Linked DNA regions of Drosophila melanogaster. Each later gene encodes a partner of the first gene's protein in a complex. Each region holds a gene or a part of one and is shown on either strand. Other genes may lie near its edges. A codon is read from its position in the direction of its gene.

The links.
Region 2: the proteins of Taf9 (region 1) and Taf6 are in contact, whole or in part, in a crystal structure (PDB 1TAF), measured with the Drosophila melanogaster proteins. Residues at the interface, in NP_523391.3 of Drosophila melanogaster: Lys20 (codon at 1,675), Asp21 (codon at 1,678), Val24 (codon at 1,687), Ile25 (codon at 1,690), Ser27 (codon at 1,696), Ile28 (codon at 1,699), Leu29 (codon at 1,702), Glu31 (codon at 1,708), Leu32 (codon at 1,711), Val34 (codon at 1,717), Glu36 (codon at 1,723), Tyr37 (codon at 1,726), Glu38 (codon at 1,729), Arg40 (codon at 1,735), Val41 (codon at 1,738), Gln44 (codon at 1,747), Leu45 (codon at 1,750), Phe48 (codon at 1,759), Thr49 (codon at 1,762), Phe50 (codon at 1,765), Tyr52 (codon at 1,835), Val53 (codon at 1,838), Thr54 (codon at 1,841), Ile56 (codon at 1,847), Leu57 (codon at 1,850), Asp58 (codon at 1,853), Lys61 (codon at 1,862), Thr71 (codon at 1,892), Ile72 (codon at 1,895), Asp73 (codon at 1,898); in NP_524161.2 of Drosophila melanogaster: Gly18 (codon at 2,983), Ser19 (codon at 2,980), Ser20 (codon at 2,977), Ile21 (codon at 2,974), Ser22 (codon at 2,971), Glu24 (codon at 2,965), Ser25 (codon at 2,962), Met26 (codon at 2,959), Ile29 (codon at 2,950), Ala30 (codon at 2,947), Ile33 (codon at 2,938), Val35 (codon at 2,932), Ser37 (codon at 2,926), Leu38 (codon at 2,923), Ser39 (codon at 2,920), Asp41 (codon at 2,914), Ala42 (codon at 2,911), Glu45 (codon at 2,902), Leu46 (codon at 2,899), Asp49 (codon at 2,890), Val50 (codon at 2,887), Ser51 (codon at 2,884), Lys53 (codon at 2,878), Leu54 (codon at 2,875), Lys55 (codon at 2,872), Ile57 (codon at 2,866), Val58 (codon at 2,863), Gln59 (codon at 2,860), Ala62 (codon at 2,851), Gln71 (codon at 2,824).

The regions. Positions count from the first base shown.
Region 1 is NC_004354.4:17,840,642-17,844,159, forward strand, and holds Taf9 (TBP-associated factor 9), read left to right. Parts: upstream 1-1,519; 5' UTR 1,520-1,617; coding exon 1,618-1,768; intron 1,769-1,832; coding exon 1,833-2,518; 3' UTR 2,519-2,707; downstream 2,708-3,518. Other genes in the region: CG6398 (uncharacterized protein), read left to right, coding at 1-54, 121-286, 349-458; CG8142 (uncharacterized protein), read right to left, coding at 2,779-2,865, 2,928-3,518. UniProt on the Drosophila melanogaster protein: TFIID is a multimeric protein complex that plays a central role in mediating promoter responses to various activators and repressors.
Region 2 is NT_037436.4:19,597,471-19,602,193, reverse strand, and holds Taf6 (TBP-associated factor 6), read right to left. Parts: upstream 3,107-4,723; 5' UTR 3,035-3,106; coding exon 2,150-3,034; intron 2,088-2,149; coding exon 1,918-2,087; intron 1,861-1,917; coding exon 1,405-1,860; intron 1,285-1,404; coding exon 975-1,284; 3' UTR 812-974; downstream 1-811. Other genes in the region: CG9368 (uncharacterized protein), read right to left, coding at 134-152, 218-421; ash1 (absent, small, or homeotic discs 1), read left to right, coding at 3,958-4,038, 4,101-4,723. UniProt on the Drosophila melanogaster protein: TFIID is a multimeric protein complex that plays a central role in mediating promoter responses to various activators and repressors.

The DNA.
Region 1 (3,518 bases):
TTCTTTGAGAAGGAGAAGGTCGTGGGCGAGGATTACTTCCAGCAGTGGAACACGGTATGTACACCAGCTGCATTGGGCATGTATGTGGATTAACTAATGATGAATATCTTGATTTATTAGGTCCTGCGCGACAACACGAAGATCGCCTACGACTGGTCGTACATCGTGGCCTGGGCAGGAATCGGAACCTGTCTCCTGGCGTCCATTCTGCTCTCCGGCGCGGCCGTTTGCCTGCGCAACGAGCGGGAGAAGGAGGAGCAGCTGAACCTGCAGTACCTGATGCCAGGTATGTCCATCGTGCTGACCCTCTAATATAACTAATGACTAATTTTCGGTTTCCATTTCCAGTTTACTCGCAGAAGCAGCCACCCTATCCCCCTTATGCCAACTACGCCCAGCCGCAGATCTACCCAGGACCTTACTATCATGGCTCGCAGTACGGACCCTACAACTACTAGAGGCACACCCGAAGGGGCCAGCCAGCTTCAGCCAGCAGCTGCAATTGAGTTATAGAGACATAGAGATCACAAATCATGACCAGGAGGGAACCTGGTAGCCCTCCCCAGTAATCAAAATAGAGCAAGCGCTAACGAAATCTTAAAACGCATACATTCTGACAATGAAAATATTACTTAAAGCATCAATTTTTTTTTTCGACAAGAATCTAGTTTGTAGTCTATATAGAGCTATATAGTATATATATATATGCTTGTATGTATAACTGATCGTGGGACTTGAGTCAAAGTTGCGTCCAAGTTTTTGGTGCGCGAATTGTTTGCGCGTTATTTTGCAAATATCTAAGAGAGACGAATGGATGGATGGTTTTATATGTTGACCACGGCGAGATGGCGATTTAAAGACGGAACAATAAAGAGTTAATTTATTGTAGCACGTAACGTACATGTAGCGTATCTAAAATAATAATAAAGAAATATGTGTATGTATCTAAGCTAAAAGTTTCATTGTACAATGTATATGAATGTAATAATGCGCGACAAGCTTCAATTGTCTTCCAAGTATAGTGCATATTGTATGTAGAGCTGTACGTTTAATGAATAAAAGTTTCTTACGTTAATTTAACAGTTTTTAGCTCCTTTTGGCGGGACTTCGTTTTTGTTTTTCCACAACTGGGGTATTCAAGTTTTGTTAATAAGCTTATCAAGTCGTGTGAGAGAAATTTTTGACTTTATTAAAACTAAACAGAATTGTAGTCTTCATTTCACTCTGCCATTTGTTCTCGTTTCGTTAATTCCGAAATATTTTGAAATTGTTGTTTCTGATAGTTAATATTCCACCTATTGGTCCACCTATTATGCCAATGTGGTGTTATGTGATCTGGTAGAAATATGCTTATTGTTTAATATTTTGGATAAGCTTCATTAGATTTGTTCCTACATTTAAAAATCGATTTCTAATTTAGCCGTTTTTTTTAAATGGCCAGAGCCAGAGTTGCCACCCTGCAGTCCAGCGGCGTTTTCCACACTAGACGTCTGCATCGATAGTATCGCATAAGCTCACCGATTTCCGATAGACCCGTATATATGTACGTGCACAATTTCAATGGAATAAACAATCTTCTTGCAGCAAAGCCGACGTAAACATAATAACTATAGAAGTATGAGCGCAGAGAAGTCCGATAAGGCCAAGATCAGTGCCCAAATCAAGCACGTGCCGAAGGACGCGCAGGTGATCATGTCCATCCTGAAGGAGCTGAATGTCCAGGAGTACGAGCCGCGCGTGGTCAACCAACTGCTGGAGTTCACCTTCCGTAAGCGGCGATTAATGCCTTGCTTTTCCCACATCATTTTCCTAAATGCTGTCTTGCATTGCAGGCTATGTAACCTGCATTCTGGACGACGCCAAGGTGTACGCCAACCATGCGCGCAAGAAGACCATCGACTTGGACGACGTGCGTCTGGCCACCGAGGTTACGCTGGACAAGAGCTTCACCGGGCCGTTGGAGCGCCACGTTCTAGCCAAGGTGGCCGACGTGCGCAACAGCATGCCCCTGCCACCCATTAAGCCGCACTGCGGTCTCCGACTGCCGCCCGACCGCTACTGTCTCACCGGCGTCAACTACAAACTGCGGGCCACTAATCAGCCCAAGAAAATGACCAAGTCGGCGGTGGAGGGCCGTCCACTGAAGACCGTCGTTAAGCCCGTCTCCAGCGCCAATGGTCCGAAGAGGCCACACTCCGTGGTGGCCAAGCAGCAGGTGGTGACCATTCCCAAGCCCGTCATCAAGTTTACCACCACTACGACAACGAAAACGGTGGGCAGCTCCGGCGGATCTGGGGGCGGCGGTGGTCAGGAGGTTAAGAGCGAGAGCACCGGCGCCGGCGGAGATCTCAAGATGGAGGTGGACAGCGATGCGGCGGCCGTGGGCAGCATCGCTGGCGCATCCGGTTCGGGAGCAGGAAGTGCCAGCGGAGGAGGAGGAGGAGGAGGATCATCTGGCGTTGGAGTGGCCGTCAAGCGGGAACGTGAGGAGGAGGAGTTTGAGTTTGTGACCAACTAGCGAAACGACATCATTTACCTTAAATTAATATTCTTAAACCAGACCAAAGCACTTGCATTTGGTTGAGCGAACTGGGGGTCTAAATTTCAACTCGAATGTGAAGTCCCAAAAACCTTAGTATAGATTCGCCCGTTAATCATTATGAAATCTACGTTTTATACACAAATACAACTACCAGATTTTCATATTAAATATAACATTTATTTTAGACTCCAGTCGCGGATAAAGTACATGTAATGAATGTGCTGAGTGGGATGAGATTACTTTAAAGCTAAGATGATGCAGCAGCCAAGGTCCATGATCTGCAGATACTCGGAGCCGCCGTCCTGCAGTCGAAAGCAGCATTCCTGTGGGATAAAGGCAGCAATAAACAAGAGGAATCATATCTATCTATGCAGTCAGTACGTACGCCCAGCTTATCGCAGATCGTGGCCTTTTGCGGATCATTCAGCCCCGGATGATGGACAATGAACTCGACGAACTGTTCCATCATTTGGCCAACGCTGTAGGCGGAGAAGCCAATCTCCCGCACGAACTGCTCCAGGCGCTCGTAGTTCCCAGAGCGACAGACCTCCAGGTAATCCTCCAGATAGTACTCCGGTATAACGCCCGACATCTCGAACAGATCAGCAGTGTTGATGATGTGCTCGGGCCCTTTAAGGCGGTAGCAGGACTGCAAGGTGGTGATAGCGCGTCGCAGATCTCCGCCGGAAATTTTGACAATGGATTTATAGGCATCGTCCTCTATCTTTACTCCCTCCATCTCGCAAATGTACTTCAAACGATCGATCACCTTGTCTTCGCCCAGCGCCTTGAAGCGAAATTTAGAGCAACGCGACGTGATTGGCACGATAATTCGGGACACATAGTTGCAGATCAGGCAAAAACGGGTGCTCCGGCTCTCCTTCTCCATGGTGCGACGCAGCGCAGACTGTGCGGCATGGGTCATCGAATCGGCCTCGTCCAGAATGATGATCTTGAAGGGCGGACACGGCTTACC
Region 2 (4,723 bases), on another chromosome or scaffold:
ATTTGTGCACAAGTGTCTATTCAGCGGCCAGCACTTGGCAAGGGTTTGCGCTGAAGTGCTCGAAAGGGAAAAGCAATACACTATCCAAATAGCTAAGAAGTGAAATGTACTGAACCACACTGCGTATACTTACTCGGTCGTTTTTCCTTGCCCTGCAAGGGAAGTTACAAGTTAGTTCAGTTAGCTCGAAAACGAATATTAGATATGTGTGGTCAACCTGTTGCGATTTCTGGCTCTCAACTGCCCGCCTGTTCGCCTCCGTCTCAGCCCGCAGGAGCACATCGTCGAGCGCCTCCCGCAACGCGGCCATGTTCTGGGGATTTTGCTTGAAGGCCTCAATCCGCGCCTCCAGTGACTCCGTTTCGATTCCATCAACGCTGTCCGGAGACGCTGGCTCGGGATCCGCAAATCTGGCATGCATCTTTCCTGGGTTTTTGTGAGAATTCCTTTTTATCCTTTGAAAATGCTGCCAGAAGCGTTTCGAGCTTTGCCTTTGTCCTGCGATGGGTATCTACAAGGAGTGCTGAGCAGAGCTCTTTGTGCGTTCACCCAGCAATGCGCTGGAGAAATCAATAGCAAGCCACTTGGGGGCCCATACCCGCACATGCGTGCTGACTGCGTGGGCAAGCTTTCGATTTGTGGGGTGGGAGAGCAGTCAGTTGATTTCAACAGTTCGTTATTTACAGAACTGTAGCTTAATATTTCTATGGGAAATCCTTAAATAATGTTTTTTTTTTTGCTTGCTAAGAAGAACTAAATCCATTTTACACAAAACGTGTGAAAATAATGATTTAATATTCTTCCTATTTGTGTGGTTACATTTTTTTGGGGTAGGAACCCGCATTTTTTATTTTATTGCATACAATATGACAAAATGTGGACTACGAACTAAGCTGGCTACTCCAGGTGCGAGAGATCGTCCAGCTCGGGCGGTGCGCGCACAATCTCCGTCTCAATGATCAGCGAGTTGGCGTCTAGGATGCTCTGAAAGATTGAACTGTTATACCATCAACTGCTGGCGCTTCGCTACCGGCAATAACACACACATTATCGCTGCTCCGCTGTGCAGCCGCTAGTAGACTGCCGCTCGAGCTTGAGTTCGAATTGGAGGCACTGGCAGCGTTGGAGGCCGCGGAGAGGACCACGCTGTGCGGAGAGCTGCCACGCCGCACCACCTTCGCCTGGCCCTGCTGCGGCGAGTTCTGGGTGACTATCACAAACTTTTGCGCCGGCTGGTTGGCCTGAATGGCTCTTATTTGCGGCAGGGACGAGACTCCGGGACTTCTAAAACAAAAGAATATTTAACCGCTTAGTAATGGGCATAAAAAGACATGTCAACATGGTTTCCATTAGGAATCAAATGCTTGGCTGGAATTTTATTTTATGCTTAAAAGTGTTATTTACCCCTGTCTCTGTGTGGTGGGCATGGACACTCGTCCGATGGTTGTTGCTGTTTGTGCTGCACTCGTGATGGGTGCCGTGTTGATAGTGTTGGATGACAGGGTTACAATGCTTGAGGCGGGCGCATTTCGAACTTTGACTACTGCCTGGCACAGCGACGGCCCCAGGAAGCCAAAGTCGTTCTTGTAGTCCTCCGCTGTATCTGGCGCTGAGCGCATTTGCCTGAGAATCGGGGGACAGCACTTCTGAAGCATGGCGCGGATGTGACCTGCTGCTGTCTTGTCAGTGTTGCTGATGGAGGTGCCGAGCAGGTGAGGTTCAATGCGCTCCGATATGAACTTAAGGCGGGGTATGATGAAAACCTTTATGACTTCGCCCCCCAGCTCCGAGAGACCCGCAATAGAGCCGTAAAGCGAGGACAGGTGGGTCTTGTCGTTCTGCAGGGCCTTGCTGAAGATGCTGAAGGTTGGGAAATGGATGTTAAAAGGTTATTTAATTTAAGTGGATGTGATTTACCGGGTGACACGGGTTTGCAGATTGTTGGTTAGGGTATTGAAGTTCTTGCAGATTTGAGCCATCAGTCGGGAGGCAAAGTCTCGCAGGGCCCAGTGATTGTCCAGCTCGGGGCGCATACACAGCTGTTTGGACACAATGCACGTCATCACCGAGGGTATCAGTTCGTGGAGCTATGCGGAGACAACATCGTTTTTATGAGAAACAAAGAACAATACAATAAGAAATTTCTTACGTATTTCTCCAGAAACAGCGAAGGATTATCCAGAAGCGCACGAACCATGCGCATGAGGTAAATAAGCAACGCCAAGTTGTTCTGAACCACATTGACCTTAACTCCCTCGGCAATGAAGGTGCACATGCGGGGAAGCATTTCGTGCAGGCCAGGATCGGATCCCAGCGACTGCAGCGCTTCCCCGCGCCGCGGCTCATCAGATCCCACGCACGCCTCGGTGATCTCCTTGTAGTACAACTGCTGCTCCACGGACAACTCGTGCGTGGCCAGTTGCTTGACATGAATGGTCTCCACGTTTTTCAGCTTGTGTATCTTGCCGGTGGTGGGTTTGCCTGCCGCATCTTTGTTTAGGCCTTGATCCATCTTAATAACTGGATTGACCGAGTCCAGTAACTGGGAATCCTTCGAGAGCGGAGGGGGGTTTTCGGGCACAGTGGGTTGCACTCCCTCCACAACAAACCAATGGGAGCGCAGGGTGAGATCCAGGGGAATTTTTACAGAGTTGGTGGATGTGATTTCTCCTAGGTCGATTTCCTTGTCCTCGGTGAAGTGCAGCTCCCGTCCTCCGCCAGATGCGAAGCGGAATGGAATGAAGTCCTTGGCTACGAAACCGTACTGCGGCTCCACATTTCGCACCTTAAGGGACATGTCGATGTCCCGCACTGAGAGCTTCTGCCGCTTGGCGTGGTTCATGAACTTGGCCGCATCCTGTACAATCCTCTTCAGCTTGATGGACACATCCTCCGCTAGTTCCTTGGCGGCGTCATCCGACAGGGAGCCCACTCCGATGCTCTCCGCGATCACCTTCATGGACTCCGCCGAGATGCTGGAGCCGTACAGCATGCTGCTGGAGGGGCTGCTCGGTTTCGACGGTTTTCCACTCATTTCCCAGGTTTTTACAAATAAACAAATAATAATCGCCGAGCTGCTCGGCCAGTGTGCACACACCCAAAAGAGAAAATCTAGCTATTCTGGCTTTTTTGTTGTTTCATATCGTCTGCTATAATTAGTTTTATGGTCACCTAAAATTTTGCTATTTGCGAGTTCATGTAAGGAATATATTCCCATAACAAATATTTAGTTACAATAGTAAAAAAAATATAAGAATTCATTTTTAATTCATAAAAAATGTCATATTAATATTACTGGTTTCACATTGTTATACAATAATCGGCTTGTTTTTTTCCAGCTATTTTTGAATAGAATCCACTATTGTTCGCGATAGTTGCCTGCTAAATTCCGCCGCAAGGTCACACTGTCGCGTAGACATCACGTACACCCCAGCTGGGCACACTGAAACGCAGTCTTTTTCTTTATTTATGTTCGTAAATTTTTGGTTGCCTGGCTTTTTGTTGTTGCGCCACATTAACAATAACAATTGATGCGCCCCGCCACCGCCCACTAGTCGCGAAAAAAGTGAATTATCGGTACCGCGGATTAATGTGCCACATGCGAGAAGCGTTGCAACGTTGCGCCGTCGTCGGGCGTCGAACAAAGCAGTTTTTGGGAAAGTGAAAACGGCGCCATTTTAGAAGCAGGCAAGCCACGGCCTAAGGCTCAAGAAAAGTGCAAATGCAATGTGTGCAGCAATAGATTGTCATTTCGGCACAAACGAAACCGACTACTGAGGTCTACTACTAGCCCAGAAAACAATCAAGCGTAAGTGTGCTGTAGGTAATGGTTTTTTTTTTGGACGATGTCACCGCGGTTTGACCTACTTTAAAGGCGATTAAGAGTGCCACCAAATCGAATTAAAAACACTTGGCTAACAAAAGCGAACCTTTGCAGCTCCCCAGCGACTCCAAAATATGAGCTGTAGCCAAAATGAGACGGCAGCAGCAAAGGTTCTGGAAACGCAACGCGCACAAGAATCCGGCAGTGAAAATGAGGCAAGTCTTTAAAATGGCACCCTTTATGCAATGCTATATGTAAAGTGTGTTGTTCTCCTCAGGAAACCGATTCCATTACGGATCAATCGAGCCAGTCGAAGTCGATCAAGTCAGCCACCCAGTTTAGCGTGCAGCGTTCGGACACCGATGGACTGCGAATGAGAATCTCGGCCATCCGCCCCACGTTAGGAGTCGTAGCAACCAAGAAACCCCCAAAGTCCAGAAAAATGTCTACCCAGGACACCGAGTCCGGCTGCTCGGAGGCCAAAAATAGAGCGGTCAGCAAGAAAGTGAAGGTCAAGCGCAAGAAGCTGGCAAGTTCCAGTGGGATTAGTAAATCGGACAAAGTGTCTAAGTCTAAGAAGTCACAGATCTCGGCATTTTCCTCGGACTCAGAGGACGATCTGCCCTTGAAGGTGCATCAGCAGAGAGCTCCGCGAGTGCTGCTAAGTGCTATCATCCAGGCGGCACAGTCGGCCAGCAAACCCACCCTCGATATCGGAATCTCGTCCAGCGACAACGAGTTACCTAACCTGGTGCAGGCGGCTATCAAGCGAGTGGAGAGCGATACGGAGGACACAACTGTGGAAGGAAGTTTCCGCAAAGCGGCCAAGGACAAGAACCTACCCCAGTACCAGTCAACTTTGCTGCAAGACTTCATGGAGAAGACTCAGATGCTGGGGCA